Linked DNA regions of Stegostoma tigrinum. The protein of the gene in region 4 purifies or fractionates together with the protein of the main gene of each other region. This does not show direct contact. Links are inferred from orthologs where the notes say so. Each region holds a gene or a part of one and is shown on either strand. Other genes may lie near its edges. The genes, in order: rpap2, si:ch211-140b10.6, crcp and polr2f.

Region 1 (7,840 bases), on a different chromosome or scaffold from region 4:
TAAATTTGCTAATATTACTTGTAATGTCTTCATCTATATCATTAATATATATCGTAAACAGCTGTGGTCCCAGCACCGAACCTTGTGGTACCCCACTGGTCACTGCCTGCCATTCCGAAAGGGACCCGTTTATCACTACTCTTTACTTCCTGTCAACCAGCCAATTTTCAATCCAACTCCATATTTTGCCCCCAATACCATGTGCCCTAATGTTGTTCACTAATCTCCTATGCAGGACTTTATCAAAGGCTTTCTGAAATTCCAGGTGCATAACATCCACTGGCTCTCCCTTATCCATCTTCATAGATACATCCTCAAAAAATTCCAAAAGATTAGTCAAGCACGATTTCCCCTTCATAAATCCATGCTGACTCTGACCTATTCTGTTACTGCTATCCAAATGAGTCGTAATTTCATCTTTTATAATTGACTTCAGCATCTTTCTCACCACTGACGTCAGGCTAACCGGTCTGTAATTTCCTGTTTTCTCTCTCCCTCCTTTCTTGAAAAGCGGGACAACTTTTGCCACCCTCCAATCCGCAGGAACTGATCCTGAATCTATAGAACATTGGAAAATAATTACCAACGTGTCCACAATTTCTAGAGCCACCTCCTTAAGTACCCTGGGATGCAGACCATCAGGTCCCGGGGACTTACCAGCCTTCAGACCTAACAGTCTATCCAACACCATTTCCTGCCTAATACAAATACCCTTCAGTTTGTCCATTACCCTCGCTCCTTCAGCCACTACTGCATCTGGGAGATTGCTTGTGTCTTCCCTAGTGAAGACAGATCCAAAGTACCTATTCAACTCATCTGCCATTTCCTTGTTCCCCATAATAAATTCACTGTTTCTGACTTCAAGGGCCCAATTTTAGTCGTAACCTTTTCTTTTTCTTTTCACATACCTAAAAAAGCTTTTACTATCCTCCTTTATATTTTTGGCCAGTTTTCCTTCATAGCTCATTTTTTCCTCTGTGTATTGCCTTTTTAGTTATCCGCTGTTGCTCTTTAAGAGCTTCCCACTCATCTTTTCTATGTTATACTTCTCTTATTTTTATACAGTCCTTAACTTCCCTCGTCAGCCATGGCTGCCCCCGCCTCCCCTTAGGATCTTTCTTCCTCTTTGGTATGAGCTGATCCTGCACCTTCTGCATTATATCCAGAAATACCTGCCATTCTTGTTCCACTGCCATCCCTGATAGGGTATTGTACCACTGAACTTTGGCCAGCTCCTCCCTCATAGCTCCATAGTTCCCTTTATTCAATTGCAATACTGACACTTCCGATTCTCCCTTCTCCCTCTCAAACTGCTGTGTTCATCTAGCTCTACACTTTGTTATACCTGGTGTTCTCTTTCACCTCCAAATCCATTGGTAATCTGTTACATTTCACCACTGCCATTGAAAATAATTAAAATTGCCTTTCCCTACACTAAAACAGTTGGACCAAATCTACTTAGTAAACAAACTGGAAATGGGTTATAGACAGTTTGTCTCAACGACAATACCAATGTTACTTTTTCTTGTTACATCTTGGCTGTAGCTCCCTGGAGTAAATAGAACAACCAAAACAGGAGGGGCAAACATTAACAGGTCTTTCAAAACGAAAACAGAAAATTGCTGAAAAGGCTCAGCAGATCTGGCAGCATTCCTGGAGAGAAATCTAAGTTAATGTTTCAGGTTCAGTGACCCTTCTTCAGAACTGGTAGTAGCTAGGAAACGTTGGTTGTTATGCAGAGGATATGGTGGGGGAAGGGGGTAACGAGTAAAGGATAGGTAGGCAGAATCCAAAAGACAAAAGAACCGACAAACCGACAAAATGAAGGAATAATGATCAGCCTGGGAGAATTCATAGCTATTAGTGGACAATTAGCGGCAAACGATAGACAATCTGCAGTAGCAGACTGTGTGATAACAAGGCCTAACTAGGGGAAGCGCATGGGACGGCGTCTCAAGCCCGAAAATTGTTGAACTCAACATTGAGCCCAGAAGACTGTAGAGTCCTCAAACAGAAGTGAGGGAGTTCTTACAGTTTGCGCCGAGTTGCGCTTTCTAGCATTCGTAGTTGTTTGGTTTTTTTTAAAATTTAGTGCCATTTTTAAAGTTGCACACAAACATACCTGAACAGCCTTGCACCAAATACTATGTGAGACTGGACTAACTAACCCAACCACCACAGGGAACGGGCAGGCAAGAACAGACAGGACAGTTCAGACACTGACTGATGTTACACAGAGACTTGCATATACTTTTGAGATTCCTCTTCCTCCATCTCCCTGCCCTCTTCCATCCCATAAGTCCCTAACAGAATTGACAACGCAACGATTACAAACTTCCGGCCCGCAGTCGGATTCTCTCACCTCTTGAGGGTCCCTTCAATGTCCGAGACTCCCATCTTACTGTTAACACTGACCTCGCTCGAGCCCTCTCGCCGCCGGCTCCTTAAGCGTCTCCCACCCGGGTTTCGCCTCGGCTCCGACGCCATGATGGTACCAACCGAACTTTGACCCCGCCGTTGTGGCCGTTAACCAGCAGAGGCGTGATTATTGCCGGTTCAATATTTAAATCCTCGTTTTTCCGTTCATTCTACTTAAATAATGTCTTCAGTTTTTTTTCTGATCATAGAGGGAGTTTAAATTTTTCGTTCATATTATTTGAAGAATCGCCCTTTTTTCCCCAATGAATAGAGAATGCTGGAGAAACTCAGATCAGGCAGCATCTGCGGAGAGAGAAAAAGTCAACGTTTTGAGTCCAACACGGGTTCTTCGGATTGTTTGGTATTATTCTCAGTCAAAACCTACCTTGGTGTGGGGGTGCCGGTGTTGGACTGGCGTCAGAAGTCAGACGACAACTAGTTTATTTGAAATCATAAGCTTTCGAAGTGTGACGAAGGGGGAAAGCTCCGAAAACCCACACTGATATTGAGTTGTTAATTTCAATTGTCAGAAAACTTTGTGGCACAGTGGTAGTGTCACTTCCTTCTGGGCTAGAAGCTCCAAGTTCAAGTTCCACACTAAGACTCTCTGGATATGGAAAGTGCACTTGTAATGCTAAAAATGATGTGTGGGTGCTGGTGTTGGACTGGGTTAGACAACGTCAGAAATCACAACACCAGGTTATAGTCCAGCGTTGAGTTGGAGGAACACAGCTGGCGAGGCAGCATAAGAGCAGCAGGAAAGTTGACGTTTTGGGTCAGGACCCTTCTTCAGAAATCCCAACCTGAAATGTCAACTTTACTCTTACGCTGTCTGGCCTGCGATGTTCCTCCAGCTCCACACTATTATCTCCGACTCCAGCGTCTGAAAGCTCATGTTTCCAAGTAAACCTGTTGGACTATAAGCAGTTGTTGTGTGAATGCTAAAAAGGTTGATTATACGCCTCTAAATCTTTTCAATGCACCTGAGGTGTAGGTGTAGGAGGGCTGGTGTGGGAGAGAGGGCTTCCATTACGTGGATAATTGGAGCACATTCTGGGGAAAGTGGGGCCTGTACAGTAATGACAAGTTGCACCTGAACTGGAAAGGCACAAATATTCTGGGAGGGAGGTTTGCTTGAGCTAAAGGGGATGGTTTAAACTAGATTGGCAGGGGGTGTGGAACCGGATTTGTAATTCAGAGGATGAAGTAATCAGCCTTCCAACGGACACAGCAAGGAGTGAGGCTGTTAATAAAGAAATGTGGTCAATGGAGCGTAATTGTGGACACAGGGATGGCTTGAAGTGTGTATACTTCAATGCTAGAAGTATCAGAAATAAGGCAGCTGAACTTAGAGCATAGGTCAGTACTTGGAACTACAATGTTATGGCCATTACAGAAACTCGGGCAACTCAGGGAGAGGAATGGTTGTTGGAAATTCCGGGATTTAGATGCTCTAAAAGAAATAGGGAGGGTGGTAAAAGAGTGGCATTGCTAGTCAAGGCTAGTATAGCAGCTACTAAAAGGCAGTTCAAGAATGATATGCGTACAGAGTCAGTTTGGGTTGAGGTCAGGAACCAGAAAGGAGCAGTCACTTTGGGTTTTGTTTTAAAAACAGACCCTTTAATAGTTGCAGAGGAGTGGAGGAGCGGATTGGAAAGGTGCAGAAGTCACAGAGTTGTAGTCATGGGTGACTTCAACTTTCCAAATATTGATTGGAAATATTTTAGTTGTAATAGTTTAGACAGAGTGGATTTTGTTCAGTGCGATCAGGAAGGATTCCTGACACACTATGTAGATAGACCAAATGAGGAGATTTGGTGCTTGGCAATGAATCGGGCCAAGTGTCAGACCTGTTGGTAGGAGAGCATTTTGGCGGAAGTGATCATAGCTCTGTTACGTTTACAATAGTCATGGAAAAGGATATGTACATACAGCAGGGTAAGGTTTATAATTGGGGGGAGCGTAATTATAATTGTGTTAGGCAAGTACAGAGTAACATAAATTGGAAACAGATGCTGTCAGGGAAGAGCAGTATAGAAATGTGGATATTGTTTAAGGAATGCATACTGCGTCTGCTCAATATGTTTGTCCCTAGCAGGCAGGGAAGGTGTGGTTGAGTAGGGAGCCTTGGTTCTCAAGCAAGGTGGAACGACTGGTTAAGAGGAAGAAGGATGCTTATATAAGGTTTAGGAAACAGATCGGAAAAGGCTCCAGAGGGATACAAGCTGGTCAGGAAGGAACTGAAGAAAGGGCTTAGGTGAGCTAAAAGGGGGCATGAGAAAACCTTGGCAGATAGGATCAAGGAAATCCCCAAGGCTTTTTACACATATGTGAGGAATAAGAGAATGTCCAGAGAAAGGGTAGGGCCGATCAAGGATTGTAAAGGGAATTTGTCCGTGGAGCCTAAAGAGATAGAAGAGGTCCTTTAAATGAATACTTTTCTTCAGTATTCACAACTGAGAGAGACCTAGTTGTAGGGGAGTACAGTGTGAAACAGGCTGGTCGGCTGGCGAAGTGGAAAAAAAAACAAAGTTGCTAGAAAAGCTCAGCAGGTCTGGCAGTATCTGTGAAGGAGAAAATAGAGTTAACGTTTCGGGTTTGGTGACCCTTCCTCAGATCTGACGGTGGCTGGGAAAACGTCACTTTATAAACAGAAAATAGGGAGGTGGGTGGGGTTGCGAGTAAACGATAGGATAGAGCCCAAGGAGAGAGAAAGGACAGTTGGACAGACAAAGGAGTTGCTGATGATCAGGCTGGGAGGATGAGTAGTTGTTAATGGGGTTTGTTAGTGACTAACAACAGGGGGTGTGTAGTGGCAGGCAATGTGGTAACAAAGCCTGGTGTGTGGGTTGGGGGGCTGGGACATGGGGGAGTTTAGGCCCTAAAATTATTGAACTCAGTATTGAGTCTAGAGGGCTGTAGGGACCCCAAGGGGAAAATGAGGTGTTATTCATCCAAAGATAGTAGGAACTGCCGATGCTGGAGAATCTGAGATAACACGTGAAGCTGAATGAACACAGCAGGCCAAGCAGCATCAGAGGAGCAGGAAGGCTGACCTTTTGGGTCTAGTCCTTTCTTCAGAAATGGGGGAGGGGAGGGGAGGGGAATCTGAAATAAATAGGGAGATAGGGGAGGCGGATAGAAGATGGATAAAGAAGAAGACAGGGCTCTACATCAGGACTGCTTTGCGGAACACCTACACTCAGTTCGCAACAAACAACTGCACCTCCCAGTCGCGAACCATTTCAACTCCTCCCCCCCCCCCCCCCCCCCCCGCCCCGGCAACTCCTCGGACGACATGTCCATCCTGGGCCTCCTTCATTGCCACAATGACGCCACCCGAAAGATGCAGGAACAGCATCCCATATTTCGCTTGATACCCTTGGGCTGCAGGGTTCCCAATGTGGGCTTCACAAGCTTCAAAATTACCCCTCCCCCGACCACATGCCAAAACCAGCCCAGCTAGTCCCTGCCTCCCTAACCATTCCTCCCACCTCAAGCCCCACCCCCATCTCCTACCCACTAACCTCATCCCATCCCTTGACCTGTCCATCCCCCCTGGACTGACCTGTCCCCTCCCTAACTCCCCACCTACGTTCACCTTCACTGGCTCTAACCCCTCTTCTTTGACCTGTCTGTCTCCTCTCACCTGTCTTCCCTTTATCCATCTTCTATCCACTTCTCCCCTTCTCCCTATTTATTTCAGAATCCCCTTCCCCTCCCCCATTTCTGAAGAAGGGTCCTGACCCGAAACGTCAAACTTTCCTGCTTCTCTGATGCTGCTTGGCCTGCTGTGTTCATCCAGCTTCACACTGTGTAATCTCTGTTGTTCCTCCAACTTGCGTTGGGCTTCACTGGAACACTGTAGCAAGCTGGAGACAGAGATATTGGCCAGGGCACAGAGTAGTGCGTTGAAGTGGCAGGCAACAGGTACTTCAGGGTCTTTTTTGTGAGCAAAACGTAAATTTTCTGCAAAGCGGTTGCCAAGTCTACGCTTCATTTTCCCCAATGTAGAGGAGACCACATTTTGAGCAGCGAATGCAGTAGACTAGATTCTGGGAAGTGCAGGTAAAGTGTTGCTTCACCTGAAAGGTACGTTTGGGCTCTTGGATACTGGGGAGGGAGGAGGTAAGTGGGTAGGTGTTGCACCTTCGCCAGTTGCAGGGGAAGGCGCCGTAGGGTAGGGGGCAGGGTTTGGGGGTGAAGGAAGTGTGGACCAGGGTGTCCCGGAGGGAATGGTCCGTGCGGAAGGCAGACAAGAGAGCGGAGGAGAATATGTATCTGGTGGCATCTTGCTGGAAGTGGTGAAAATGTCATCTGATGATTTTCTGGATATGGATGCTGGTGGGATGGTGGGTGAGGATAAGGGGAACCCTATCACTGTTGCAGGTGGGAAGAGAAGAGGTGAGGGCAAAAGTGTGGGAGATGGGTTGGACCCGATTGAGAGCCCTACCACATAGCCTGCTACTACACACCCGCTATAATAAAATGTGAGGCTGGATGAACACAGCAGGCCAAGCAGCATCTCAGGAGCACAAATGGATTTGTGCTCCTGAGATGCTGCTTGGCCTGCTGTGTTCATCCAGCCTCACATTTTATTATCTTGGAATCTCCAGCATCTGCAGTTCCCATTATCACTACACACCCGCTGTTGTTCGTCAATAACGGTCCCCATAAACAACTACTCACCCTCCCAGCCTGATCGTTAGCAACTCCTTTGTCTATCCAACTGTCTTTCTTGCTCTTTGGGCTCTATCCTTTCGTTTACTCCCTACCCCACCCACCTCCCTATTTTCTGCACATAAACTGACATTTTCCCAGCCACTATCAGTTCTGAGGAAGGGTCACCAGATCCAAAACGTTGACTCTGTTTCCTCCTTCACAGATGCTGCCAGACCTGCTGAGCTTTCCTAGCAACTTTGTTTTTGTTCCTGATTTACAGCATCCGCAGTTCTTTTGGTTTTTATTTGGAGGAGGTGGATGTTAGTAATAAGGATGTACTAGGAATTTTGAGGAACTTGAAGACAGATAAGTCCCACAGGCCTGATGAGACATATCCGAGTATTCTATGGGAAGCAAAGGAAGAGATCACAAGGCCTTTGCCGATGATCTTTTCATCCTCACTGTCCATGGGTATAGTGCTAGAAGATTGGAGAGAGGCAACCGTCATTCCCTTGTTCAAAAAAAGGGAACAGAGATAACCCCAGAAATTATAGGCCAGTTAGTCTTACTTCAGTGATGGGCAAATTATTAGAAAGGGCTCTGAGAGATAGGATTTATGATCACTTGGATAGGCACGGTTTTGATTCGTGATTGTCAGCATGGATTTGTGACGGGTAGATCGTGCTTCACAAACCTTATTGAATTATTTGAAGAGGTGACCAAACATGTTGCTGAAGGTAGAGCAGTGGATGCGGTATAC
Region 2 (7,493 bases), on a different chromosome or scaffold from region 4:
AGTGATATGGTGATAAAGACTAAAGCGTGCAAACAAGACATGCACATTGTATTCCCTGTCTGGCATGTGCCTCAAAGCTGTAGCCTCATCATTTCCAACTGTTAAACCTGGATAATAGTGGATCATACACTCCAAACAACTTAATTTGTTAATCCATTTCCTTATACTGATGCCACATCTTTAAGTGTTTTTTACCCTAAATTTATTACTGACTTTAGTTAGGTTGTTGCTAAGCATGCATTTGTAGTAAAGTTCAAGATTGCTAGAAATCAGTTTTAATTTTTGTCATGAATTTTAAACTGAGCTGTCCACGTTGCGTCCTGACTGATTCAAAAGCCCTCCTACAGGCTGTTCTGCTCCACTTCACTCTGGTGTTTCTCTGCTTTGGCCACACATTAACTGTAATTAGTGTCAGAGCAACCTCATGTTGACTCTGCAATGTAAATGCAGCCTCCATGTGGGTTAAGCACTGAACAGCAAATGGTATCTGGGTTCTAATATAAGACATAAGATATCAAGGCATCTAACATGGAGCAGTGAAGACAGATGTGTGGCAAGATACTTTTATGTTTTAAATTCCCTTCTTGCAAGGGAATTTAAACTTAAATGAAACAACTGCACTGTTGTAAAGTAAAACACCTGATGCACTAATGTTCTCTTGGGAAAGAGATCAACCTTAAACATTCAGGCTTACGTGTGAATCCAAATACACTGCAATGTAATTGACTTTTAGCAGACGTCTGAAAGTGACTAGCAAACTACTCAGGTGTACTCAAAAAAAGGTAGTTAACCACTAGCTTTTCAAGGGTAATTTGGAATGGGGAATAGCACTTCAGATTATAGCATTGACACATGGTTACCATGCTCTTTTGAACTAATTAATCCTTGTCTTAAAATTGGAAAATCTGCTGTGTACTGCAATCTTTCCATTTGGATTACTAAAATGACATAAAAACTGAAGAAAAAAAATCAACACCAACACAGACAGTCATGTTATCACATGAATGTATCATCTAATGGAGTTAATGGAAATGAACAAAGTAGACTTTGAAATTCAAAAAAATCTCAAGACAGGCCTTGAAAAGAACTGAAACAGATGTATGCAGATAATACAGCCCAGGGTGGCCAGATTGGTGCGATTTGCTGAGTTCCTTGCTGTGGTGTTGACCACCCCACAAATCTTGGGCATATTACACCTCGAGAGGTCTTCTAACCAACTTGTTCAGAGGTTCAGAGACCTCGAACCGAGGTCTCCTGGGCAGAGATATTGCACAACAGTTATGTCCCTAAGAACACCAAAATGTAAATACTGCCAACCTCAAGTTGCCCAGCCTTGGAGTAGACCAGGGGTGGCACATTACGTAAACAATAAAAACTGCAAATGGTCAAGCAAATACATGTTACTTGGACAATGTCATAGTGGGCCTTACATCCCACATGAAATTAAGTAATTACTATGTTCTGAAGAAGGGTCACTGGACTCAAAACATTGCTTTCACTCCACAAATGCCACCAAATCAGTTGAGTCTCTCCAGCTCTTTTGTTTTTCTTTGCTTCAAATCTCCAGCATTCACAGTTCTTTGTTTCATTTCAGTTGCTATGTTAGGTGCTACAAGTGCAACAAATTCAGTTTAACTCTGAATAGACATTCCAAAAAAAATGCAATTAGGATACCTGTAGTGTTATTCCACGTGCTGATTTGATTTTCAAAATTATATGAGCAGTAACTGAAGGATCGTGATAAGCATAGTGCTGTTCATACAGTATGTTCCAGTTGCGAGGCTAGCGACATGGTAACGTCATTGATGGTAAAGTTGATTCAGAGATAGTAGGAATTGCTGATGCTGGACAATCTGAGATTACAAGGTGTAGAGCTGGATGAACACAGCAGGCCAGGCAGCGTTGGAGGTGCAAGGAAGCTAACGTTTCGGGTGTGGACCCTTCTTCAGAAAATGAAACGTCAGCTTTCTTGCTTATCTGATGTTGCTTGGCCTGCTGTGTTCATCCAGCTCTACACCTTGTTATCATGGATGGTAACGTGCCAGGTTTCTGAACCCTAGCATATTCTCTGGCATGTATAGTCAGAGGGCAGCCTGAATTTTATGTCGGCACTAGCTGACCCATAACCCTTGCTGAGGTTGTGGGCGGGAGGGGAATGGCCATGACATGCCAGATTTGCGAGGCGGAACACGTCACACCGGGCTGGTATGTTTTTTACAGATATACACATTCTGTATACAGAGTTGGGAATACGCTACGCCCGAGGAGGCCTGCAACAAACGCGATATCGAACAGGTAACCAGAAAGGTTTCTGATGAAGGGTCTATGCCCGAAACGTCAGTTTTTGCGCTCCCAAGCTGCTGCTTGGCCTGCTGTGTTCATCCAGCTCTACACTTTGTTATCTCAGATTATCCAGCATCTTCAGTTCCCATTATCTCTTACACAAAATTTGAATCGGGTTTGTTTAGAGTCGGTTGCCAAGACACCGCACACAGGACAGGGCCAGTAAGCCCCTGTGCTGCTGATAATGACATTAACATAGTCTCTGGCTGAAGTCATTAGATATTGTTTACCTCTCGAGTTCGCCATCTTTCTCCATGACAACTTCTCGCGCGACTCTAACACTGCTCTGAAGCTCGCGACTTCTTCGGTTTCTTTTGAAAGCCGCGTCTCGGAGCGAGCCGCCGCGGAGACCGCGAAAGCCCAGCTTTTCCCCGCCCCTCCACTGTCCGCAGCAGGATGGCCTATCTCAGCCGCCTGATCATACGTGCTCCGAAAGAAACAGCTGACTGAAACATGGTCGTTGTGAATAATGACGGGAAATAACATTCACTTCCTCCAGGAAATTATTTTTGTCTCTTCATTTCTGTCTCCCCTTCGTAAATACAAACCACCTACAGCTCTCCCCATTCGTGCAGGCAACGTTAAGAGACAGAAAGGTTTCCTCAGGTCGGCTTCACACTAACTTGCTGCAATTTTGGGGGTACAGGAGGGGAAGCGGTGACATTGTCGTGCGCTTTGATTGGTTTGCCTTTCACGCCTGCCTTCGTCGGTGGGCAGATCTTTGTGGCATCTCGAATTGTAATTGGATGTCTGTCCTGTCAATGTGGCTCCCCGACTAAGCAAGTTTATTTGACTGGTAATCTTCTGTACAAATCTTGAACACTAAAACCGAAGTTCTCGCAGTGAATGTTCACCAATCGCCTTGAAACATTCAGTTACTTGCACGATTTCTTGGAATTGTATGGCGCTGTATGGTTAGTGTTTGCTGTCTGCACCACGAAAGGTAAAGTAAACGTAAAGGAAAACCCATTTGATATTTATTTCGCAGTTATTGGTATCTTGACGACGAAGAATCTTGGAGGGAGTGTGTGAGAGAAATGCAGGCGCCTCCTACCCCTCCCAACTCAGTCTTTTTAACGTGAAATCTTCCTACTCCGGTGATTGATTTATTTTTCCCATACCGCTTCGCTGGTATAAATCAGAGTCTGCAGGAGAACGTTTTTGATGTGACCGTTATCTGGGAAGCTGCTGGATTGAGATGTGGGGAGAGCCGCTTGTTGCATAGATTGCTGAGGCTGCTTTGATATTTGACTTCGTGCATTTTAGACGTCTCGCCATGCTTTCAGGAGTGTTTGTTATTGCGCTCAGAAGGGAGACGTATGTGTATATTTATATATATCTATATGTGCTTGTTTATGGACAACATAAAACCTGCCACTCTGAGAGCACTAACAAACAGATGTTTAATTGATTCTGTCCACCACCTGCCCGTTTTCCAGTATCCGCAGTAATTTGTTTTTGTAAAGGCGAATAATACGTTGATATTTAACAATGAAATTTCATTTCACCGCTGTAATATTGATGTACTTCTCGTTAATCTATTAATTTGTTCAGTCGTTCAGGTCGTTTTGTCCATGCATCAAGTATTGACTCAAGTTTCTATTTAACCTTGCAAATATTTGAAGTAGAAGTGGTCAGTTTAGAAAACGTTCTTGCGTTGGTAAAGTGTAGAGCTCACTTGTTTTGTGATTTACTTATATTTTTATGACATCTCAACAGCAATCATTTTAAATTAATGGAAAAGCCTAAGATAAGCAGTTTTTATTTAAAACAATTTTAATCGTATGTTTTTTACGTCTTTCGAATTGAACGATTTTACTATTGATTTTTAAATACTGCCATATTGTGTTTTTTTAATAAAAAGTCATTTTTACAATCACTTAATAATTCTGGATTGAGTTTTGTTTGTGTACTTTTAGCAAAGAAAAATATCTGAATGTTTTGAATATGTTTATTTTAATTTGAAATGTTAACACTTTGCGCACCAAAAATTTCATTTAAGGGGTACTTGTGAGGATGTTAATTTATATATTCATTTTTGTACTTAGAATTGCTTTGTTCAGCAGTAACAAAATTGATCAGTGAAACCCCCTGTTATTCTGTACTGTGATGTACATATAGCTACTAGAAATCCTTGCAATTTTTGTAAATAAGAAACAAGAGATATATATCATTGTTGGATCAGTGGGATCAGATTTGTCTGGAACAAGGAATTTGCAGTCTCCCCCATTAGCTTGATTTGCAATTGCAAGTTTAGTTTTTTTGCCGTCAAATTACTGGAAGTGCCAGCTGATAATAGTCCAGTGAGATCAAAAAGATAATGATACCTTGCTGAACACTGGGACAATTTATGCACCTCTTTAATTTATGAAAGTAAATGACTGAAATAAATACTGATTTGATGTCATCTGGTTTCCATAAGTTAGCAATAATAGCCCAGATCTCCTGGTCTTCATTTACTTATTTTCTGGAGTAAGCCCAGTCTGTATGTTATTGAATTCTTTAGAAGTCCCAGTGGAAGGACTCCACCGGACTTGATGAATCTGAACTTTTGGTCTGCAATGCCTTGTTTCTGGGGCCCTCCGAAAATGTTTCCAATTCTCAGGTATAGTAGGAGACTTTTTGGATCATATACATCTATTTGCTGAACACTTACCCAGGAAATGTTGGAACAGGACAAAATCTGGTCTCACTCCTGGGTAGCTATCCAACTGTCTCCCCAACCTTACCTCCCAGCCACTTACACTGATTTCCCCCCAGTTACCCCTGCAACTGTACAAGCTTTCCTCCTGACACTCCAATTACCCTGCCTAATCCTCAAATCACCCTGACTCATGCCCAACTGACCCAATCCATTTGTTGCCAACCTGACTACCTTCATACCATCTTGCCCACTGTTCCAAGCTATCCACTGCATTCATGTGCTACCGTAACCATTCCTCAACCATTTGTCTCACCTACCATACATCCACAGTAAACCTATCCCCTTAACCACCTGACCGACCACCCTTACACTACAATTTTACCCCACCCACACTCACCCTCTTTCACACTTACCTTTCTTTCTGTGCTCTTCAGGGAAAGGTTGGAAAAGTTAGCTTTGCAGAACACAGCTACTGTGCATGTCTTATCTTGACAATCCAATGCTACATTTAAAGCAGTTCCATTTCAGACACATTCCAAATTTCTGTAGAATCTTGAAACAGAAGCAGGGCCAGAAAAGTGGAGCTCTGGCAAGTTGGAGAAAATTATGAGTGGAGTGACAATATAACAGCACTTGCCAATCCTCAAAAGACTCAGGCCGATTACACTTTAGATTCAAGAATGCTTCAACTTTATTGCATTTTTTCTTCTTTCAGCTCCCCATATGGTTGTAGACTGACAGACTGATACATTGTTACTCAGCACATGACTGTAATGTGACTGAATGCAGCGCCTTTAGATATATATTTATATAACAAGTTCTTTATGAATAATCTAAATGCATATCCTCCCTCTTCCTCGAAAGACTCTAAGCAAATATAACAATCCCAACAATTAACACTTTTTCTATTAACTACAGTAGTTTGATAATTAACTTTTATAAATAAATTGAACATACAAGAATATTTTATTGCTCAGTTTATACTGTCTGAAAAGGATTATTTGTGACTTTATTATGGCTTTGGTGATGGAATGTTGTGTGTCCATCTTGTGGTTTCACATTCATTGTTTTCAGTAAAGAATGGCCATGCATTATTGTTTTTGTTACTCCTGTTGTGTAGTAATTGTACTCTATGTTACTGATATTGTGTCAGTTGCTGGCATTGTTGATGAAGTTTTCTGCATTTCCAGGTCAGGATTCTGGAGTTTCATGTTGGGATTCTATATATGTACAGTTTTCCCTTGCAATTACTTAGGCATAGATGTAACATTTTTGTTGAAGTAATGGCCTCCTCCTACCTGTGATTAAGTGAATTGACCAAGTGACCAGGAAGAAGTCCTGTACTTTCTTTCGTTCAATTACTCTAGAAGTAATTTTGTGAAAACTTCTTGAGTTATAGATCAGTGTGATAATAAGTGTGTTGGTGTCTTCCTTTGTTTCTTGAAGGTTCCAGTACCCACCTGGACATGTTTATTGGTAAATCTTTGTCCTGTTTGGAAATGTGGTACTGATGTTGAAGTTTGTGTAATACTGTTGGTAGTTTTTAAATGTTCTGTTTATCACATCCTTCATAATAGACTCCCATTATTTTTCCTACAACTAATGTTAGGCTAAATTCCACTTTTCTCCCTTCCTCCTTTTCAAAATATTGGGGTTACATTTGCCATCCTCCAATTTTCTGGGACCTAATTAGAATCTGTAAATTATTAGCAGATAACAACCAACATATCTGCTATTTCAGTGGCCAACTCCTTTAGTACCCTGAAATGTAGATTATCAGGCCCTGAGGAGTTTTCAACTAGCAGTCCCATTAATTCTTCTTGAAATATTTTCCTTCATGGTAATTTTTGTCAATTATTCATACCCAAAGGACCCTTCTTTCCCTAGCACTTCTGGGAAGTTTTATTTTCTTGTCTTGTATGAAGACAGAACAGAAGTTGTGGCTTAATTGCTCTATCGTTTCTTCTACTCCATGACCAAATCTCCCATTTCAGATTGTGAGTTTGTCTTCATTTGTCTTCACTAACCTTTAACCTTTTTCATTTTACACGCTTACAGAAGCTTTTACAATCCACTTTTATGTTCCTTACTCTCATGCTCTATTTATCCCTCTTAATCAAACTTTTAGTCTTCCTTTGATGAATTCTAAACTGCTCCCAGTCCTTGGGCTTGCTACTTTTTATCAGGAACTTCATATGACTCCATTTGGATATAATGCTACCCTTAATTTCATTTGTTAAGCGTGGTTGGGACACTTTGCCTGTTGCATTCTTTTACCCAGAACGAATGTATAACTGGTACAATGCATGCATTCATTCCTTAAATATTAGCCACAGCCTGTCCACCGCCATGCCTTTTAATTAGGTTACCCAGTCTGTCACAGCCAATTTACTCTGCATATCTTTGTAGCTGAGAACTATAAATTTGGATTGGATTACTTCACTTGCTATTCCACTGAAGAATTCTATCACGTTATGTCACATTTTCTTCTAACCTCTCACAACAA
Region 3 (7,546 bases), on a different chromosome or scaffold from region 4:
TTTGACTTTACATTGGCTCCCAAAGCCTCAAGTTTAAAAATCTTCTCATATTCAGATCCCTACATGGCCTTACCTCTCAATGTCAGAATCAATTCTGATAATATGATACCTCCCTGAAATGGCTACTTGTGTAGTCACTCCCAATTCTCTTGGTAAAACATCAGTAACCATGTATTTCAATTGTCCAGTCATCATGTTCTGGAATTCCCTCCCTAAACTATGCCTCTTTCTCTTTCTTTTTCTTTCAATTTGACCCACTAACAATCCTTTTAAAATCTCCTTCAGTTTAACATTCATTTTTGTTTTATTACACCACCTAAATTTGTTAGAGCTTATTTTGATATTAAAGCACTATAAAGAATTGCAAGCTCCTATTACTCTTCCGTCAACATTCAATACAAGGGGTGGCATTAACTAGTGGAAGCCAAACTACGATAAAAGATTTCAATTCTCTGCTCTTTAATTTTAGCATCTTGTATTTAAAAAGGGGATTGTTTTGTTGTACGGTATAAATAATAAAAGTTAATTTATTCACAAATGTTCACTTTAGTGCTTGTACTAAATGCTATAGTATAGAGTCATAGAGTTGTAGAGCACAGGAACAGACCCTTCAATCCAAATTGTCCATACAAACCAGATATCCCAAATAAAACTGGCACCATTTGCCAGCATTTGGTCCATGTTCCGCTAAGCCCTTCCTATTTATATACCCATCCAGATGTCTTTTAAATGTTGTAATTGTACCAGCCTCCACCACTTCCTCCGGCAGTTCATTCCATAAATGCAGCATCTTCTACATTAAAAAGTTGTCCCTTAAGTCCCTTTTAAATCTGTCCCCTCTCACCTTAAACCTATGCCCTCTACTTTTAGACCCCACTACCCCGAGGAAAAGACTAATCACCCTATCAGTGCTCATGATTTATTAAACTTCTATAAAAGGTGACCCCTCAGCCTTGACACTTCAGGGAGAATCGCCCAGACTGTTCATCCACAACAGATTTGAAATGTTTCGGTGGAAATTGATGTTCAAACAGAGGATTTTCTACAAGACATTTTAAAATTTTATACTGGATAAGTCAATAATCAGGACAGTGTATAACTGTCAGCTGGTTATTGATGCACTTGTCAAAAATATATTGTGTATAAAAGGGTAGAAAACCCGATTGTCACAATTGAAATTGGTGCAGTTTACAGTTACTCAGTAATCAATTCCCAATACAATTATATATGAACTTACTTTATAAACATGAGAAGTCTAATTTATCAATAGAATCATAAATGGGATCAAACATTGGAGTTTTTAAAAAAATATCGCGTTGCAAACCATCAGTCCCCCGATGTTCTTCACTTTTAGCTCCACAAGACAGCTGTAAGATTGTCTCTTCCCTCAAAAAAAATGAATTTTTCATGTGCACTTATCCCCGATATAATTTAAGAACAGGAGGCGGCACGATGGCTATGATCCGCACCGCTGCCTCACAGCACTAGGAATCCAAGTTCAATTCCAGCTCTGGGAAACTGTCTATGTGGAGTTCACATGATTTCCACGTGTCTGCGAAGATTTCGTCCCCACAGTCCAAAGTTGTGCAGGTTAGATGGCTTGGCCGTGCTGAAATACAGGGTTAAAGGGATAAGGTAGGAGGATGCTCTCGGGAGAACAAAGTGTGCAGCTGAAGAAGGGTCTAGACCCGAAACGTCAGCTTTTATGCTCCTCAGATGTTGCTTGGCCTGTGTTCATCCAGCTCCACACTTCGTTATCTCGGATTCTTCAGAATCTGCAGTTCCCATCATCTCAGATGCTCTCGGGAGAGTCGGTGCGGACTCTGTGGGCCGAATGACTTGTTTCCACGCGGTAGTGATTCTATTCTAAGCTTTCGTTCTGCTATCTGAGAAACCCCTTAAATGCATCCACACACAGTACATAACTTGCATTTCTACATTATTCCTCACGTGGACAGACACAAATCAAGAAAAACGGCCATGGACAAAGCGGTGGAGAAAACGGAAGTAGCTGACAGATACAAAAATCATGCTTTCTTTTAAAAAAGGGAGCTAAGAAAAACATGTGGGAAGTGAGTGACTATCACTAATACTGCGATTACTACAGAACATTGATGTGAGAACGTTGGGAGACATAAGCAGGTCATGATGAGGATATTCAAATTAACGGAGTTTTACTCCCATATAATATGGTCAATCAGATCAACGTATCGTCGACAGATACCCGCCACCACCCAGCTCCCCGTTCCCCAAGCCCTTGCCTCCCTCCCACAATTATGCGAGACAAAGTAAATTATTTATACGGAGAACATTGCAATTGAAAGTCTCATCACACTCCCTGTTCCAAACTCTCACATTGACAGCTGCTCTAAAGTCTCTATTTTCAACACCTCCTGCTGCACCATCTCTCCTCTGCGGCCCCTGCTCTTTCTGCTCTAACGTGTTGCGATACTGACATTGCTTGTCCCTTCAACCACACGCATGGTCTGCCACACGTTGAACATACTGGACCAAAATAAAAGACACAGGTACTGAGTCCAACCAGACTTATCCTATGTTTCGTTCTTAATTGCCGCACAATTCATAACCTCACAAACCATCACTGCTTGGCCAAACTTCCCGAGCTGCATAAATGAATTATTCATTCAGCAGACATAAGAGACTCACACCAAAACAAAAATCGGGCTATTTGCACAAAATACACAGGACAACCAAAAAGAACGAGTTTTGTCTGTTGTGAAAGAAAAGTGTTGAAAAAGACTGAAGGCGGGTTTTCTAAAATCAGCGAAAAATCCAAAAGACAGACTGAAAAGCTATGAAGAGAGCCGTAGTTTCTGTTTTTCTCCCCGTGCCGGACACCCGACTCCGTTTAAACGCTGCTAGTGACTTTGATGAGGCAACGTTGATCTAAAAACTGGAGCAAACATTTGAAGAGAACTTACACCTCCATCCTGCTTCCGCTCTCGGGCCCTGACAGCCGCTCTGCCACCGCAGTTTGGTTCCGACCTCTCACCGGAGGAAGAAACTGGCCGCACAGGCCCACGTGATTTCCGGTCATGAATCCCAGCCGCGGCCTTGAGCGGGAGCTGGTTCTGGGCCGGGGAACTGCTTCAACTGAGGTATTCGAACCAGATGGATAGAAATAATGTGTAAGAATATGGTTCATGGCTGGGTGTCTCTTCAGTGTACTCCATGACGTTATAGAGAGGTGGGCGCCGCAGGGTATACACTTCTTCATTTCTTCCAGCAACTCCAGTTTGATTTAGTCCCTTCCCCATCCACCTCCCCCCCGTTTAGATGGTTTGCATCGCCAGTAATGGCCTTTGCTTGTAAGCATCTAATATCTAAAACGGGTGTTTTACTTTACTGGTGGTGGTTGTTGGTAAGTTTTTTAAAAAAAAGCAGTCATGGTGATTTTAGTAGTGGGAAGGTCACTTAGTTGTGTGAGATAGCACTTCTGGGTATAAACAAGGTGCAGGGTAAAAAAGAAAGTTATGGTAATTTGGTGGTGTTTGTTTGTGTGTGTGTGTGATGGCACCTCTGGACCTGTAAAGATATGTGTCCCTGTTGCTGGACTATTGGTCCCAGGTTCAAGTTTCCCTGCTCCACAGATGTGTAATAATGTATCTGAACAGGTTGTTTAGAAAAATATTGTGTAAAAGTATAATTGAGAGACTTGTAGTGCAGTAGTAATGCCTCTGCCTATGGACCTAAAGACCTGTATTCAAATCTTACCTGCTGCAGACAGGTGCTGCCTCAGTACCAGGGCTATCATAACACATCTAGGTAGGTTGGTTAAAGTCTCTATCAAAAGTAATTTAACGAGAAAATAACATTTTACAGGATGTGATGTGGGCTCGAGTGAGGAGGCCTAGGTTGAAGTCTCCCCTGCCGCAGAAGTGTACAGTCACGTCTCTTAACTGGCAGATTAGAAAATCTGTGCAAATATATGGGTGCTCTGTCATGCCGTGCTAGCGTTCCTGCATCTGGGCAGAAACCTTGGGTTCAAGCCCCACTTCAGATGTGATTTTTAAAAAGTTTTGTTCAATGTTATAGGAGTGTGTGGGGAAGTAGGAGATTAGCACAAAAGGTGGAATGGTTAGTGAGGTGGAGTGGCTATAGAGTATGCAGCCTCATAGTGTTATTGGGGGGGGAGCGACCAAACAAGGGTTAGTGCGCTTCGGGGGCAGCTATGATCAGCCTTCTGAAGGAAGGAAAAGCCATCTTTGGATATTGAGCTGAGCAGCTTAGATTTGGAGATAAACAACAATAATGAGCAGCTATTTTTGCACTAATTATGAGCCTTTAGTCCTAAGGCATATCGAGCGGTTGTGCACAAGGCAGGGAGGGAGCCAAGGTGATGTCCCGATTTGGTATACCAACACAACTGGGCTTCCTGAATCCTATAGTCCACTTTGGTTGAAGAATCACTTAATCAGGCAGAGAGCCTCATTTCTCCAGCAGCAATCCATTAAATAGATATCTGCTAACAACTATTATGAAACCAGTTGAGGCACAGAAATGCTTCAGCAGCCTCCTGTCGCCATACCAGGGCCACCATAGAGCAGGCACTGTAGTCCTCAAGATTTGGTTCTGGTAGACAGATTAGGGGATGTTTTCCAGTACAGTCACTCAAGGATTCTTGAATTGGAGTGGTATGTTGCACCCTTAAAAGAATAACCCTCCTATCAGATGGGATCTTGATGAAGGAGAATTGGAGGAGAGGTACTGCCTTCGGTGTTAAGAAGGACCAGGGTAATCTAACCCTTGTGAGGTGCTCCACGGGTCTGGCTGAGCCGTCAACACAGCAAGCAGGATGGAAAGGGAGCTAGGCCCATCTGTTCAGCCAATTTTCTGTTAGATCCCTTCAAACTGGAGGTCCAATGACCTAAACTCACTTTTTCCAAAGTGAATGAGCAAATTTAGGAAGTGCACAAGGCATAATGTTTCCTCTGTTTCCCCACTGCCTGCATGACAGTTCTCAAACTGTTCTATTTCAAATGTGTCCACCCCCCCTTTCGTTATTTGTGAATCTTAAAGCCATCAATAGTTAGAATTGTGGATGTGACATTAATTATTTCATTACATTGAATCCTTTTCCGTAATCACAACCACAGTAAGGATCAACAAGGTGTGCCAGTACTGCTGACGTAGCACACTTTTCTCTTGACTAAACTAACTGAGTGCACTTCTTATGGTAGAAGTTGAGATTAATGCAACTGGGATGCCCATGGCAGTTTCTCATACACGAACACCTCAACAGACTTCTCTCTGATGAAGGGTCTAGGCCCGAAACGTCAGCATTTGTGCTCCTGAGATGCTGCTTAGCCTGCTGTGTTCACCCAGCTCCACACTTTGTTATCTTGGATTCTCCAGCATCTACAGTTCCCATTATCTCTGATACAATTTTAACCTCACTGCGAGGCCTCTTCCAGGGATGCCTAACCTGAAGAAGTTACCCTCCTCCCTCCGGACCAACCTCAGGGAATCTCTCTCCCACTGCAACTCTCTTGCAATCTCTTCATCCTTGAAACTGCTCGACCATGTCGTGAAGCAAACCAGGTACCACAGCCACATCACCTTCCTCAGCACCTGCCTACGGAACTGGATCATCCCCAATGGACCACAGTCTACATTCAAGCCTTCCCAATTTTGCCCCAACCGTGACCACCTCTACACCCAGAGCATTCAGACCCTTCAGAAGCGTTTCTCCCTGCGAGTCCTGCGTCGGCACCTCCAGGCATTGCAATCCAGCCTGCCCCAGCTCAGAGCCTCCCTCTCCCAGACCAGCAAAGGACCTCTCCTGTTTTTTATCCTCCACAGGATCCACAGACTGAACACCAGTTCTACTCAGCTTTACTGGACTCCAAAAATCGTAAGTACTACAAACTCATTGGCTCCTGGCACCTTGAAAAGGATTCCTGCACCTCCCAAATCCCGAGCCAGTCCCTGCCCCTCCCCCACCAAGCACCCGCCACCATTGACCATGAGGACATGGCCGGAGACCCCACCGATGACGACACATCTGCCACCGCTGGGCACACCACTTCTGGGACCGCAGATGCGACTGCTGCGGCAGTCACCACCTCCACTTCCAGTTGTAACACCACACACCACCCTCACCGCTGCTGCCGCCGCCCACCCTGTTCCTCCCACTGCCGACGGAACCCAGCCCATGGCTGATGCCGACGGAACCCCGCCCACAGCTGACGATCTCATCGCTCCGCCCACAACCTCAACAGCCGGGAACCCCAGAGTAGACAGCCACACAGAGCCCTGCTGAGTCTTCACCATCCCTGTAGACCTCCCACTGACTAGGATGAACGGTCATTCCTAAGCAAGGGGCTCACCTTTGTCCCCCCACAACCACACATCAACAAATACCAGTCACGTTTGGACATAGAGCAGTTTTTCCGCCGTCTTCACCTCCACGCTTACTTCTTCAACCGGGAGCCTAACCCTCCCTCCACTGACCCCTTCACCCGCCTCCAACACAAGTTGTCCTCCTGGACACCACCCCCAGGCCTCCTACCCTCCCTCGACCTCTTCATCTCCAACTGCCTCCGAGACATTAACCGCCTCAACCTCTCCACCCCTCTCACCCACTCCAACCTCTCCCCCGCAGAACGGGCAGCCCTCCGCTCCCACCCCAACCTCACCATCAAACCCACAGACAAGGGTGGCACAGTGGTAGTACGGCGCACTGACCTCTACATCGCCGAGGCCAAACGCCAACTCTCCGACACCACCTCTTACCGCCCCCTCGATCATGACCCCACCCCCGAGCACCAAACCATCATCTCCAACACCATTCATGACATCATCACCTCAGGGGACCTCCCACCCACAGCCTCCAACCTTATTATTCCCCAACCCCGCACGGCCCGTTTCTGTCTTCTTCCCAAAATCCACAAACCTGCCTGCCCTGGTCGACCCATTGTCTCAGCCTGTTCCTGTCCCACTGAACTCATCGCCACCTATCTGGACTCCATTTTCTCCCCTTTGGTCCCGGAACTCCCTGCCTACATCCGTGACACCACCCACGCTCTCCACCTCTTCCAGAACTTCCAATTCCCTGGCCCACAACACCTCATTTTCACCATAGATGTCCAGTCCCTATACACCTGTATTCCGCATGCAGATGGCCTCAAGGCCCTCCGCTTCTTCCTGTCCCGCAGGCCCGACCAGTCCCCATCCACCGACACCCTCATCCGCCTAGCCGAACTCGTCCTCACCGTCAACAACTTCTCTTTCGATTCCTCCCACTTCCTACAGACAAAGGGGGTGGCCATGGGCCCCCGCTATGCCTGCCTCTTTGTAGGTTACGTGGAACAGTCCCTCTTCCGCACCTACGCAGGCCCCAAACCCCACCTCTTCCTCCGTTACATTGATAACTGTATCGGCGCCGCCTCTTGCTTCCCCAGAGGAGCTCGAACAGTTCACCCACTTCACCAACACCTTCCACCCCAACCTCAAGTTCACCTGGGCCATCTCCAACACATCCCTCACCTTCCTGGACCTCTCAGACTCCATCTCAGGCAACCAG
Region 4 (7,456 bases):
AAGACAGCAGAAACTGGCTCTGCAGCTCCTCCACCAGACAATCTGATCATCCAATTAGTCTTCATAAATTGGGTTTCAGTGTACTATTGTTTGATAAAACCTGACCCTCAGAAAAAGACAAGGTGTGGCAAAAGCCTCACTGAAACAGACGGGCTTTAATGAGCATCGTAATGGGTGAGAGACAGAGAGAAGTGAAGACAAAGACTTAGGGAGGGAATTCTTGAGCTTGGAGTCCAGGCAGCTGGAAGCACGACTGTCTTGGTAGAATGACAGAAGTCAAGAACTGGAGGTGTGCAGCGATCAAGGCGGGTTGTAGGAGCGGTGGAGCTAGAGAGCAGGGAGGAGTGAAGTCCCATGTTGGGGAGAATTGAGAGAGCTTTACTACAGATAGAGAGAGGAATATTGGTTGTTCGAGGTGCCCACCTCCTCCGCATTGTCCAGGTCATCCATTCCTTCATCTTCATCAGCATCATCGAAATCATCTCCATCAAAACTAAAATTAAAGAAAGAAAAATATTAGAAGCACAAAACAGAAGTATCAACAACTCAGCTCTGGCTGTCCAAGAGAATGTTCAATCAGCAACCTGTGAACTAAGGACTAATCCTTCACATCCCTTTTAAACCAGGCCCCACAAAATTAACTTTAAAACCCTTAGTGGTGCCTTTCCAACCCGTTCCAGCTTTACCTCTGTGCCTCCAGTTATCAAACATTAGCCCCAATCCACACGTCTTAAGAAACAGAAGCAGCCACAGACCACATGGTCCCCTAAGAGCGCTCCGAAGCATTAGCCAGTGCTACCACCGCCCCACCAGCAGCACCAGGCAGAAAGCTGCGGGCTCTCAGTCAGCGAGACGGCGGGAGGTGCTACAGGAGAGTTAAAACCAGTGGCAAGGGAAGGACACTTGGTGCAGGGGCACAGCTGAGACAGCAGGAGCCCTTTGGCACACAGAACAGGGACCCCCAGCCCGGGCACGGGGGGTGTGTTAGTATCTCAGCCCGGGCAGTGGGCGGCACTGTGGGGGGGGTGCAGTGACTCAGCCCGGGCAGTGGGGGCACTGTGGGGGGGGTGCAGTGACTCAGCCCGGGCAGTGGGGGCACTGTGGGGGGGGGGGTGCAGTGACTCAGCCCGGGCAGTGGGGGCACTGTGGGGCAGGGGGTGCAGTGAATCAGCCCGGGCAGTGGGGGCACTGTGGGGGGGTGCAGTGACTCAGCCCAGGCAGTGGGGGCACTGTGGGGTGGGGGGTGCAGTGACTCAGCCCGGGCAGTGGGGGCACTGTGGGGGGGGTGGTGCAGTGACTCAGCCCGGGCAGTGGGGGCACTGTGGGGGGGGGGTGCAGTGACTCAGCCCGGGCAGTGGGGGCACTGTGGGGGGGGGGTGCAGTGACTCAGCCCGGGCAGTGGGGGCACTGTGGGGGGGGGGGTGCAGTGACTCAGCCCGGGCAGTGGGGGCTTGTGGGGCGGGGGGTGCAGTGAATCAGCCCGGGCAGTGGGGGCACTGTGGGGGGGGTGCAGTGACTCAGCCCGGGCAGTGGGGGCACTGTGGGGTGGGGGGTGCAGTGACTCAGCCCGGGCAGTGGGGGCACTGTGGGGCGGGGGGTGCAGTGACTCAGCCCGGGCAGTGGGGGCACTGTGGGGCGGGGGGTGCAGTGACTCAGCCCGGGCAGTGGGGGCACTGTGGGGCGGGGGGGTGCAGTGACTCAGCCCGGGCAGTGGGGGGCACTGTAACGGGGGGTGCAGTGACTCAGCCCGGGCAGTGGGGGCACTGTGGGGTGGGGAGTGCAGTGACTCAGCCCCGGCAGTAGGGGGGGCACTGTGGGGCGGGGGGTGCAGTGACTCAGCCCGGGCAATGGGGGCACTGTAACGGGGAGGGTGCAGTGACTCAGCCCGGGCAGTGGGGGCACTGTGGGCCGGGGGGGGTGCAGTGACTCAGCCCGGGCAGTGGGGGGCACTGTAACGGGGGGTGCAGTCACTCAGCCCGGGCAGTGGGCGGCACTGTGAGGGGGGTGCAGTGACTCAGCCCGGCCAGTGGGGAGCACTGTGGGGCGGGGGGGGGGTGCAGTGACTCAGCCCGGGCAGCAGGCGGCACTGTAACGGGGGGGTGCAGTGACTCAGCCCGGGCAGCAGGCGGCACTGTAACAGGGGGGGTGCAGTGACTCAGCCCGGGCAGCAGGCGGCACTGTAACGGGGGGGGTGGTGCAGTGACTCAGCCCGGGCAGCGGGCGGCACTGTAACGGGGGGGGTGCAGTGACTCAGCCCTGCCAGCAGGCAGCACTGTAACAGGGGGGGGTGCAGTGACTCAGCCCGGGCAGCAGGCGGCACTGTAACGGGGGGGGTGGTGCAGTGACTCAGCCCGGGCAGCGGGCGGCACTGTAACGGGGGGTGCAGTGACTCAGCCCGGGCAGCAGGCGGCACTGTGTGGGGGTGGTGCAGTGACTCAGCCCGGGCAGCAGGCGGCACTGTGTGGGGGGGGTGCAGTGACTCAGCCCGGGCAGCAGGCGGCACTGTGTGGGGGGGTGCAGTGACTCAGCCCGGGCAGCAGGCGGCACTGTGTGGGGGGGTGCAGTGACTCAGCCCGGGCAGCAGGCGGCAGTGTGGGGGGGTGCAGTGACTCAGCCCGGGCAGCAGGCGGCAGTGTGGGGGGGGGTGCAGTGACTCAGCCCGGGCAGCAGGCGGCACTGTGTGGGGGGGTGCAGTGACTCAGCCCGGGCAGCAGGCGGCACTGTGAGCAGACCCTGTCAAGTCGCTGTCCGTTAGCCTCGCTCGATCACTTCTCGGGGCGTCTGGTAAATTGACCGGAAGAGGCCTCGTTGGAGGGCGGCAGCGGCTCCCGGGGTGAGTTGGCGGTTGTCTGCGGTCACGGGCTGTGTCCGCACCGGTGTGTGCAGCTTGTGTTGGAAACAGCGGCTCTCGCCGATCACTCACTTGTCCTCGTTGTCCGACATGATGGCGGTGGTAGTCCACACTGAGCGGCGTCAAGCAAGGTGCTTCCGGATCAAGGGTTATTGGACATGACGTCACTGCGCCTGCGCCTTATACCAATCGGAGTGCTTCGCCATGTTTGATACTGGCAGGGGGCGTTCTCCCTCATTGCCTGTAGTTCTAGTAAATACTTTCACATGAACATTGTTCTGGGCAGAGATTACACTCGTGAATTTATCTCGTATTAACAACTGTAAGGGTGTAATTTGTGATGTGAAGTGCTGGAATATAGAAGCACAACGGTTAAGCGGTTGTTTTTGACCAGCATGTACTGAGTGGCCCTAAGGGGCCTTTTCTGGAGGGTGGACCTCAGGCCTGTAGCAGCATCACAAACCATTTGGTTTAACTTCCAGACGCTTTGCGAAATGGGCCTCAGCCAAGTCCAACCCATTTCCCACAAATGCAACAGGTCATCCCTTTAAAGACAGCAGTAGCTGCCGGTGCTGGAGAATCTGAGATAACCCGGTGTGGGGCTGGACAAGCAGCAGCAGCAGCAGCAGCAGAGGAGCAGGAAGGCTGAGGGTTCGGGCCTAGGAAGAAGGGTCTGTTTTTCCTGTTTAAGATCTTGAAGACTTTTATGAGAACACCTTTTAAATTCTGGAGAAAACAGGCCTGATTTATCTAATCTCTCCTCATAACCCCTGAGGCCCAAGTACCATTCTTGTAAGATAATAAAATGTGAGGCTGGATGAACACAGCAGGCCCAGCAGCATCTCAGGAGCTTCATCTCTGATGAAGGGTCTAGGCCCGAAACGTCAGCTTTTGTGCTCCTGAGATGCTGCTTGGCCTGCTGTGTTCATCCAGCCTCACATTTTATTGTCTTGGAATTCTCCAGCATCTGCAGTTCCCATTATCTCTGATACCATTCTTGTAAACCTACATTGTACTCCCTCTAAGGCCACGGTATCCTTCCTGAGGTGTGGTGCACAGACACTGTGCTGCAAGTGGGGCTCTAACTGGGGTTTTGTATAATTTCTAGAGACTACACGTGTGCACAATATAAAGGCCAGCATTCCATTAACTTGCTTGATTATTTTCTGTACCTGTTGACAATATTTTAAAGACCCATGCACCTGAACCCATCCATTATATTTAACCTACTTTGTAGGCGTACAGGTAAATCCAGAAAGTACCCTGATCTCCGCCTCTTGCTCCCCAGAGGAGCTCGAACAGTTCATCCACTTCACCAACACCTTCCACCCCAACCTTCAGTTCACCTGGGCCATCTCCAGCACATCCCTCACCTTCCTGGATCTCTCAGTCTCCATCTCAGGCGACCAGCTTGTAACTGATGTCCATTTCAAGCCCACCGATTCCCACAGCTACCGAGAATACACCTCCTCCCACCCACCCTCCTGCAAAAATTCCATCCCCTGTTCCCAATTCCTCCGCCTCTGCCGCATCTGCTCCCAGGATGAGGCATTCCACTCCCGCACATCCCAGATGTCCACATTCTTCCAGGACCGCAACTTTCCCCCCCACAGTGATCGAGAACGCCCTCGACCGTGTCTCCTGCATTTCCCACAACACATCCCTCGCACCCCGCCCCCGCCACAACCGCCCAAAGAGGATGCCCCTCGTTCTCACACACCTCCCCACCAACCTCCGGATACAACACATCATCCTCCGACACTTCCGCCATCTACAATCCAACCCCACCACCCAAGACATTTTTCCATCCCCACCCCTGTCTGCTTTCCGGAGAGACCACTCTCTCCATGACTCCCTTGTTCGCTCCACACTGCCCTCCAACCCCACCACACCCGGCACCTTCCCCTGCAACCGCAGGAAGTGCTACACTTGCCCCCACACCTCCTCCCTCACCCCTATCCCAGGCCCCAAGATGACTTTCCATATTAAGCAGAGGTTCACCTGCACATCTGCCAATGTGGTATACTGCATCCACTGTACCCGGTGCGGCTTCCTCTACATTGGGGAAACCAAGCGGAGGCTGGGGGACCGCTTTGCAGAACACCTCCGCTCAGTTCGCAATAAACAACTGCATCTCCCAGTCACGAACCATTTCAACTCCCCCTCCCATTCTTTAGATGACATGTCCATCGTGGGCCTCCTGCAGTGCCACAATGATGCCACCCAAAGGTTGGGAACAGCAACTCATATTGCGCTTGGGAACCCTGCAGCCCAATGGTATCAATGTGGACTTCACCAGCTTCAAAATCTCCCCTTCCCCCACCGCATCCCAAAACCAGCCCAATTCGTCCCCTCCCCCCACTGCATCACACAACCAGCCCAGCTCTTCCCCACCCCCCACTGCATCCCAAAACCAGTCCAACCTGTCTCTGCCTCCCTAACCTGTTCTTCCTCTCACCCATCCCTTCCTCCCACCCCAAGCCGCACCTCCATCTCCTACCTACTAACCTCATCCCACCTCCTTGACCTGTCCGTCTTCCCTGGACTGACCTATCTCCTCCCTACCTCCCCACCTATACTCTCCTCTCCATCTTTGGTCCGCCTCCCCCTCTCTCCCTATTTATTCCAGAACCCTCACCCCATCCCCCTCTCTGATGAAGGGTCTAGGCCCGAAACGTCAGCTTTTGTGCTCCTGAGATGCTGCTTGGCCTGCTGTGTTCATCCAGCCTCACATTTCATTATCTTGGATTCTCCAGCATCTGCAGTTCCCATTATCTCAAGTACCATGATCTATTCTTTTGAGTCCAAAAAATGGATAACCTCATCCTTGCTTCTTTTGAACTCCATCTGCCACAATTTTGCCCATACATTTTAATTTAACAATATCCTTTTGAAGTTGATAGCACAAAATTACAATGCTGCCTAACTTTGCATCACCAGCAAAGTTGGATATATGATTTTGTATGCCACAACTGAGTTGTTAATAAATCTGATTAATTGAGGCCCAAACACAGATCCTTGTGGGACACCACTGTCACATCGTGTCAGTTTGATTGCCCACCCATCATCCTGACGGTCTGTTGCCTGCCACTCAAATGGTTTCTGAGCTGTCAGTGTTTTGCTGCAAGTCCCGTGGAAACTTCTTTCAAATGCCTTCCGGAATTCCACGTAAACAACATCCAGAGACATTCCTGTGTCCACTACCTTCCATTAACACTCCAGGGTTTCCCCCTCTGATCCATGCTTGAATGGGAAGCAAAAGCCAAAGTACTGTGGATGCTTGAGGTCAGCAACAGAAATTGCTGGAAAAACTCAACAAGTCTGGCACCATCTGCTTTCTCTGCACAGATGCTGTTGGACCTGCTGAGTTTTTCCAGCAACTTGTCACTTCTGGAAGGACTGACTGACTTAGTTACTACTTTTATGGGGAGTTTATAGAAAGTAATCCAAACCTATATTTGATAGAAATTATAGATAGGCTATAAATATTGGCCAATCAGTTACACCCATGTCCCATGAGTGAATTTTAAAAAATAATATCACATCTGCTCACTCCTCCAACTTGTTGATATCCTTTTGGAGTTCCACATGACCCTTACATAATTTGCAAATCGCCCAAGTTTGATTCATTTGCAAACTTTGAAAATGTGCCTTGAAAACCCACATATAATCATAAATATATAACGGGAGAAACTAGGGTCCCAATATCGATCCAAAATAAAACAAAGAACTCTGGCTGCTAGAAATGCCAAACACAGGAGGAACTCAGCAAGTCTTGCAGCATCTGTATAGAGAAAAGTAATGTTGTTAATATTTTGAGTCCACTAACATTTTGTCAGAGCTGAAAATAGCTGGGTAATTATATTGATGATAGGCATGGGATTGGATGATACGGGGAAGAGAACAGAAAACAGTGAGTCCGGTGCCCAAAGACACACAAAGCCAATTGCTGATTGAGAGAATTAATAGCTAGACTGGGTGCTAAAGAGTAAATGTTTGAAAATAGGTTGGCTGTGCTTGGAGCAGTCCATACAATCCAGATCACTTCGATGGGATTGTACAAGAGGCCCGCAGTAGCGAGAGAGAAATTGAGAAACAACTATGCAGGGAGATCTCAGGTAATTGTAAGCATAATAAAGTTGTAATAATGGGGGGATTCTAATTTTCCAAACATTGACTGGGAATGCCATACAGTGAAAGATTTGGATGAAGAATGTGTCAAATATTCAAGAAAATTTTCTTTCTCAATATGTGTATGGGGATTCTGGAACTAGGGGACATGGTCTGACCCTAATTCTCAGCCTATCCAGGAGAAATGTTATGAAACGCGTCTACACACACCGGGAGAGAGGGGTTTGGAGCACTCTGGATCAGTTACTTGATCTTAATCTTAGATTTTTATTAACAAAGGTATTAACGGATACAGGCTAAAAGACAGGTCTACGGAGTTAGGCCACAGATCGGCCATGCAGAACAGGCTCAAGGGGCTGAATGACCTACTCCTGTTCCTGCATAAAACTTAGTATTTATGACCAGGAGAGTAAATATTGAGGGGCCATTAACTTGTTTTTATTTTAGCATTGATTTTAGCTTAAGAAACCATCA

The links.
Region 1: the proteins of polr2f (region 4) and rpap2 purify together in Homo sapiens (affinity purification with mass spectrometry; 4 studies listed by BioGRID and IntAct, with this or other methods). This does not show direct contact. The link is inferred for Stegostoma tigrinum from reciprocal best matches to the Homo sapiens genes POLR2F and RPAP2.
Region 2: the proteins of polr2f (region 4) and si:ch211-140b10.6 purify together in Homo sapiens (affinity purification with mass spectrometry; 4 studies listed by BioGRID and IntAct, with this or other methods). This does not show direct contact. The link is inferred for Stegostoma tigrinum from reciprocal best matches to the Homo sapiens genes POLR2F and POLR1D.
Region 3: the proteins of polr2f (region 4) and crcp purify together in Homo sapiens (affinity purification with mass spectrometry; 5 studies listed by BioGRID and IntAct, with this or other methods). This does not show direct contact. The link is inferred for Stegostoma tigrinum from reciprocal best matches to the Homo sapiens genes POLR2F and CRCP.

The regions. Positions count from the first base shown.
Region 1 is NC_081361.1:86,500,870-86,508,709, forward strand, and holds the start of rpap2 (putative RNA polymerase II subunit B1 CTD phosphatase rpap2), read right to left. Parts: upstream 3,011-7,840; 5' UTR 2,804-3,010; exon of another isoform or gene 2,722-2,803; 5' UTR 2,488-2,721; coding exon 2,363-2,487; intron 1-2,362.
Region 2 is NC_081359.1:78,384,547-78,392,039, reverse strand, and holds the start of si:ch211-140b10.6 (protein POLR1D-like), read right to left. Parts: upstream 3,007-7,493; 5' UTR 2,600-3,006; coding exon 2,574-2,599; intron 2,296-2,573; exon of another isoform or gene 2,159-2,295; intron 1-2,158.
Region 3 is NC_081380.1:23,486,361-23,493,906, forward strand, and holds the start of crcp (DNA-directed RNA polymerase III subunit RPC9), read right to left. Parts: upstream 3,013-7,546; 5' UTR 2,951-3,012; coding exon 2,943-2,950; intron 1-2,942. Other genes in the region: uncharacterized protein LOC132211035, read left to right, coding at 3,133-3,149, 5,824-6,283. UniProt on the Homo sapiens protein: DNA-dependent RNA polymerase catalyzes the transcription of DNA into RNA using the four ribonucleoside triphosphates as substrates.
Region 4 is NC_081391.1:23,912,415-23,919,870, forward strand, and holds the start of polr2f (DNA-directed RNA polymerases I, II, and III subunit RPABC2), read right to left. Parts: upstream 3,015-7,456; 5' UTR 2,944-3,014; coding exon 2,924-2,943; intron 494-2,923; coding exon 424-493; intron 1-423. UniProt on the Homo sapiens protein: DNA-dependent RNA polymerase catalyzes the transcription of DNA into RNA using the four ribonucleoside triphosphates as substrates.